Drosophila melanogaster: one gene and its partner. The protein of the gene in region 1 interacts with the protein of each later gene in a pairwise test. Each region holds a gene or a part of one and is shown on either strand. Other genes may lie near its edges.

Region 1 (3,103 bases):
CGCAAAAGGAACGGCGGAAAATCAGGAAAAGCTGGAAACTCCCAGAATTTCTGCTCCAGCAACAGCATCCGCCACATCCTCGTCCTGGGGTCTGTGGGGCGGTAAACTGAGCTCCGTGCTAACCACCGCCACGGAGGGATTGGGCACGATAACCACCCAAGTCAACCAGGGGCTTAATCAAATCATCGGAGTGCCCGATCCCGAGGAGCTGGCTCGCATTAATGTGGCTGAAAAGGCGGAAAAGGCTGCTAAAGCGCCGCCAGAGGAAAATGTCGACGATGAAAAAGAATCTTCGGCCGCCTTTGGCTTGGACTTTGTCACCAATCTGGGCTCCAAGGTTCTCAACACCGGACTGGATACACTCGAGGGCATTGGCAAGAAGACCATGACCATCCTGCAGGACAACGATCCCAAGCTGATGAACAAGAGGAAACTGCTCGGTCTGGAGGCCAACTCGCCTAATTTGAGTGCCGTGTTGCTGGAGGCAAAGAAGGAGGCCGACCAAATGGAGCAATCCCTGCAACAGCTACAGCTGAAAAGACAGAAGGCGCAGCTGCGTTTCGAAATCCTTTTCGAAAATTACTGCGGCCTGGTGCACTTCGAGGCCCTGGAGATCCTTTCCAAGGAGTCACGCCTCAAACTGGACACCCTACTCGATGCGGTTAGTGGCAATGCCCGTGCAGAGTTGCAGGAAACGATAAACGAGGTGAAGGAACTGATCGAACTGGAGGATCTGGATGTGGAGAGTGAAGGTGACTACGAGGCGGAGGAACTGAGCGAGCGATTGGCGGCCACAATCAAGGACGCCGAGCTGGGCATTCAGTTTGACGACATAGCCAAGTAAGTTGTCGGAAACTAATATTATTTAAACATACCATAAACCCAAATCTTTTGTACAGTCACTGGACGCAGTCCCTCAGCTGGTTGACCTCAGAGGAAGCAACTGCCGCCGATCTGGAGCAAGCCTATGCTAAGAGCATCCACGCGCTGAGTGAAGCGTGCGCCCTCGAGATGTGTAAGCTGCACAAAATCGCCGAGCTGTTGCTGGTGAAGCCACATCACAGCACCGCCAACGAAGTGGATGGCGTCGTCAATCTCTGCCAGCAGTTCAATGGACACCTTCAAGGACTTAGCCACCGCTTCGCCGCCGTTCTGAGCGGCAAGTCAGAAACGGAGGAATCAAAAGGCCGGGTCAGCACATTCTTTTCCGAAATGCTATCTGCCGTGCAGTTCATCGAGAAGGCCTACAAGCTATTTACACCCATTCTCCAGATGGGAGCTGTGTAAACGGATTTAAGATTAATTGTTGTACTTTCTACTTTTACTATTGCCTGGTTAGTGTTCTCAACTCACTTGTTTTTCCATATAAATGTACAAAATTATAAATGATTGCGTTGCAAATGCTTGTGATAACATTCCCGAAATTATTGAGAAGTTTTTTCAAAGTGCAACTGAAAGTTCGGTAGCCTGCATTCGTGTTTGGTTGGATTAGAGCCACCTAATAATAGTTGGCTTCAATGTGATGAACTATTTTTAAAACCCGACTCTCGATAGGCGCGGCAATAATTTTCAGGCATTATCTATTCTATGCCCTTTCTATTCGAACTATTCTATAAATCAAACGCAAAACACGAATATCAAATTGTCCATTCTCTAGTTAAGTCCAGCAAAATTTAGTTAGAATCATGGGAGATCGCAACAAGCAGCCGGTTATTCTGCTGAAGGTTCCGTCCTCCGATGATTTCTATGGTTCGGCGTTGCGCAGCCATAACCTGGATCCCATCTTCATTACTCCCTCGCATTTTGTGTTCAAGAATCTGAAGCAATTGCAAGCCAAGTTGCATGAGCCGCACAAATATGCCGGGATTATATTTGCATCCCCGCGCTGTGTCCAAGCTGTAAACGAGGCACTAGGAAAGACACCACTTCCTAGTTGCTGGCGTGCGTTACACAATTATTCCCTAGGCAAGAACACGCACAGCGCCGCCTGGATAACATTCCAGAATCTTCCGACTCTGGGCGATCATGCCGTGAATGCAAACAATCTGTGCGATCTGATCGTGGAGACGTTTGGACCCAAGAGGGATCTGCCACTGCTCATGCCCTGCGGCAATGGCGTGGGTCAGACACTGCGCCTCCGTTTGGTCGCCCAGGGATTCCGGGTGGATGCCTGCGAAGTGTACGAGAGTCGGTCGCATCCGGATTTCGTCAATCAGATGCGGCACGCCCTCAAATTCAAGCGAATGGAAACGATTGTGTTCTTCGGACCCTCCAGTGTCCGCAGCTCCTTGGAGTTCTTTGGGAACTACAACGTTTCGCTTAAGGATCGCAAGCTGATAGCCGTGGGCAGTGGCACCAGGAAGGCAATGGAGGAATCTGGAATTAAGGCGGACGGAGTCGTGAATGCTGCTGACGTCGACCGCCTGATAAATATCATCAAAACATAGTTTAGTATCGATCATTTTACGTTTTGTTTTTACCAGTTTTTACTTTTGGTATGATTTCAAAATCTGTTTGGTGTCCTTTAAAGAAATGAGGACAAAAGTGTGTTATTAATTAAAGTGTTTCAACAAAGTACATGTAATGTTTTTATTACAAAAACTATAATCAAATAGATTGGATCTATTTGAACAAGATACTTCAAGATATGAGTTTTAATTTAACAATTAGATACAAAATGGGATTAAATAACATAAAGTAATCATGTTCTTAAAAATAGCTTGCCAGTTTCAGACAAGTTTTCAAAGAAGTACAGATGTTTAAATGATGATGGATCTGAATGAATTTCTAAGCTCAATATTCTTCCATTTTACTAAAAACAAAGTGTAAGAATTGATAATGTTGTCTGTATGTTCGTTGTACTGCTTAGTTATTTAGAATTCTTCAACATGTCGAACATATCAATATTATTTTGTGGCTTGATGGGCGCACATAATTTGGCACGTTTGCCGCTTAAAGAGTTGCCCACGATCTGTAATAAAAGTTCAATAATTTAATTTCGATTATAGGTGCAATTAACAAATACTCACTGGTATATCATCGCCGCTATCAAAGTCGGAGGAATATGTGGTAATTTTTTGACGACGAGCATTACGCTTTCTGG
Region 2 (3,751 bases), on another chromosome or scaffold:
GTGGGCGTAGAGCATGTGGCGTTGCTCCTCCACGTCCATGTTGGGTCGCCATTCCTCGCTGGGCGGTTTGACCAGATAGGATTTGACATAGCTCTCAAAGTGCTTGATGGCCTTCATACAGCTCTGATTGACCTTCTTGATGTCCTCCGGCGCTGGCGTGCTAGTGGCCCGAATGATGTCGAGACGGACATCCATCACGGCAGCATGAGCTGTGCCGGCTCCATACCAGCATTCTCGGCATATCTTCATGTAAAAGATGGGGTCAAGCAGATCCAAAAGATCTTCCAGATACTTGGCGCGACGCTTTTGCATCTTGGCCTGGTTTTCTGGATTCTCCTCGAAGAAGGCAATGTGCTCATACGCTTCGGCGTAATCCTGCATTATCTTTGAATACTCAGTAGCTTCGTTCTCGGCCTTGTAATAGTCCTTGGCTATGTCGAGCCACTCGTTCACAAAATGAAACACCAACTTGGCATCGTCGAAGGTCAGGCAGTATTCACAACTAATACGATTTTCACACGCGGTGAGGTCAAGTCCAGGAAACCGGGACTGTTCCGCCTCGACCAGCCGCATATTGCGCAGAACGATCTCCAGGTTCTTGGCATCCTCGTCATCTTCGTCCCGCATCAGCCGAAGCTTGGATGTGTTCATTAAATACAATCCATATTTGGCCCAACAGCGTGCCACATCGGCGTAGCGATGTTTAAAGGTCTCCGACACGTCCTGGCGCTGCTTCTCGCTCATCTCCGGCTCCAGCATGTGCACCTCATATTCGGCCATGATGAGCGTAGCAGCGGCCAGGTGATGACGGGCCTCCTCGAAGCGCTTCTCTCCAATATAGAACTGTGACAAGGTGGCGGTGTTCAGTGCGAAATCAATGGGATCGTATGTTTTTGACTCAAGCTGTCGATGGAGGGTGCGATGGCAGCACTTGGCCGACTTTTCCGGCTCACCCAAATGCCCGTACATTTGCGCCATGTAAAATGAGACTAGCGTGTACAGGGATTCCAGTTCCTTGGGACCAGCTTCGTGAGATTGTTGTCCCTCCTCCGGAGGATTGAACACATCTTGAATGGCCAGGGGCTTCAGACCACTGGCTTTGAAGTCCTCGTAGATTTTTTCTGCCTCCAGGAGAATTTCCAGTCCCTTATTGTACTCTTCCTTGGAGGCCAGCACAATGCTAAGCTCGTTGATTGCCCCAATGAATGGAATGATGCCCTCAGGGCACTCCTTAAACGGCGTGACTAGTTCCAGACAACGATTGAGCATCTTTTCGCCCTCTGCCTGCTCCTCTGTGTAGATGTAGATCCTGCCTAGATCCCGGCAAACGAAGGCCAACAGAGAGTGATAGCAGCGATCGTCCTGACCACCGTCCTCCTCGCTGGCCTGCACAGATACCAGTTGGTCGTCCAGCTGCTTCTTCAAGACAATTAGCACATCGCGCGCTTTATAATGGGAGCGGAATGGATCCGTGGGCGGATCATTGCGGCTCTCCTCCTCCACCAGACGGTTGGCCTTCTCGTATAGCTCCTTGAAGTCGCTTAGGATCTCCTTTGGAATGACCATGTTGGCTGAGCACCCACGGTGCAGGCAAAAGCTATCCTGAATTCGGCAAAGCCTTTTTATTTACTATATTTTTTCTCTATGAGTGTGTAGTGTGGCCGTATTGTGACTGCTTAAACTTTACCTGAGACCCAAACCATGAAAGAATATTTTATTTAAAATCTCAAACTAAATTAATTTGAACTATGTACAAGTAAGGTATTTTCAAAAAGTACATAACACAACCATAAACGCCTCTAATATAAACTTGAAGGCATAAAATGTTTATATAAACAAAACAGCTTAGTGTGACCGTTGCGCAGCAACCTCTATGTCGCAACCCTGGAATTAATTGCTGGTATTATAACGTATTCGATTACAGTCACACCGCATCGACTTTCAGATTTTTTTCGCGTCGCAAATTTTTGGAATATACCAAAATATTTACCACCATCAGCTATTAAAGACTGCTTTTGGCGCTCATCTTTCAAAGAATACTTTTCCACAAATCAGACAAGCTTCATCCGAAAGCGGGCACAATGCTGAAGGGTTACAAGACGGATGAGGACAAGAAGGTGAAGCGACTGTACCACCAACGCTATCGCACAGAGTGGGAGAAATATCCGGAGCTCTCCAGCTGGCTGGCGTCTAGTAATGACGGTTACTCGGCGCACTGCAAGATCTGCGACATCAATGTCCTCGCCAGACTAGCGTCCATCAAGCAGCACCTCGCAACGCGGAAACACCAGGAAAGTTTCAAGTACCACAACATTCTTGCCAAGGTGGGATTGGGTTTGTGCATAAGCAATAGGAATGACCCGTGTCCATTATTGATTCAAATATTTTGCGATCCAAACTAAATTTCAAACACGATTTTTGTGTGAGTTTTCGCCATACTTTTCGTTAACTATTCCATTGACTACTTCTTGTGCAATGGTTAACCAAACCAGTAGCTCCCTCTATGCGATGCACAACTTATCGCTCCAAAAAAAAAATTCTCATCTCATTACTAATTTACATAAAATTAACAACTCCGTATTTATACCTACAGAATATGATTAAGGGTGAACTTGTCAAAGATGAGCATGACCCAGACTTGGAGGCCTCCATAATTTCACCCAAAGCAAAGCCCAAAGCCAAATCAAAGACCTATCCAAGGCAAAAGCCAAGGAGCAAAATGCAGCCAAAGATCAAGAACGACACGAAGGTGGAGAGCATGGAGGAGGAGACGGAGGAGGACGAAATCGCCTCGAACGACTCAATCCTGGATGATTTACTCAGAACAGATCAGCCCTATCAAGAGCAAGAATTTGAGGTTGAGAACGAGTTCCTCGAAGTACAACAGAATGAAACAGATCTCCAGGACCAAGAGGTGGTCTACGAGGAAGAGATGATACAGCTCAAGCCGGAAGATACGGAGATTAATAACGAATACCAAGTCGACGCGATGACGGAAGACACCATTATTAGTGAATTTGACTTGTTTGGCAAGAGTTTGGCTCTGCAGCTGAACAACATGGACCTGGAGGACGCACTAATGTGCCAGGAGCGTCTGCAGGTGGTCCTAACGGAATTTCGCCTGAAGGTGCTCAAGCGCAAGAGAGAGCAAGCACGATCTTCGTAGGCTTACAATTTATATCAAGCTGTCTTATGTACATAATATAATTTCTTTAACAACTAAATAAATAACTATTCTGCCTCAATTTCGTCAATTAGCGCCCGGCACTTTCTCTTCAATACCTTGACCGCCTCCAGGAAGATGACATCGGGCTTCAGTGCGCCGACTGATTCCACGGAGAAAATGTAGTGATCTCGGATACGGGCCAAAGTCACAGCGTCGTTTAGCTGGGGATAGCGATACACATTTCGGCTGCACGTGTCGTAGCGTGCATCCTTTACATAGGCAGTTTCATTCTCGTCAATGCCAATTACTCCTGGTGAGAAACAGTTCTGTAATAGGTACGCATCCTTACCGGTCACCTCGCGGTTCAGCTTAATCATGGGCAGCAGTCGGTAGGTGGCCGTGGCCACCGGCGAGAATTTCGCGTGATCCCGTCCAAGTCCCTTAACCGCCACCAGGCGCAGATCCAACTCGTGACCCGGACGCAATTGGGCAATCAGTATGTCATCGTGAATGCAGTTCACAGCACTCTCGCTGTATATCTGCGCCTGCTTTCCTTTGGGCAGCCACTTCAGATGACCCGAGTAC

The links.
Region 2: the proteins of Uros2 (region 1) and l(2)05714 interact in a two-hybrid assay, tested with the Drosophila melanogaster proteins (one large-scale study listed by BioGRID).

The regions. Positions count from the first base shown.
Region 1 is NT_033777.3:15,786,919-15,790,021, forward strand, and holds Uros2 (uroporphyrinogen III synthase 2), read left to right. Parts: upstream 1-1,602; 5' UTR 1,603-1,685; coding exon 1,686-2,447; 3' UTR 2,448-2,576; downstream 2,577-3,103. Other genes in the region: CG9590 (uncharacterized protein), read left to right, coding at 1-840, 900-1,287; c(3)G (crossover suppressor on 3 of gowen), read right to left, coding at 2,870-2,971, 3,030-3,103.
Region 2 is NT_033779.5:4,969,627-4,973,377, reverse strand, and holds l(2)05714 (lethal (2) 05714), read left to right. Parts: upstream 1-1,892; 5' UTR 1,893-2,081; coding exon 2,082-2,324; intron 2,325-2,593; coding exon 2,594-3,166; 3' UTR 3,167-3,231; downstream 3,232-3,751. Other genes in the region: CG14043 (uncharacterized protein), read right to left, coding at 1-1,566; Polr1C (RNA polymerase I and III subunit C), read right to left, coding at 3,232-3,751.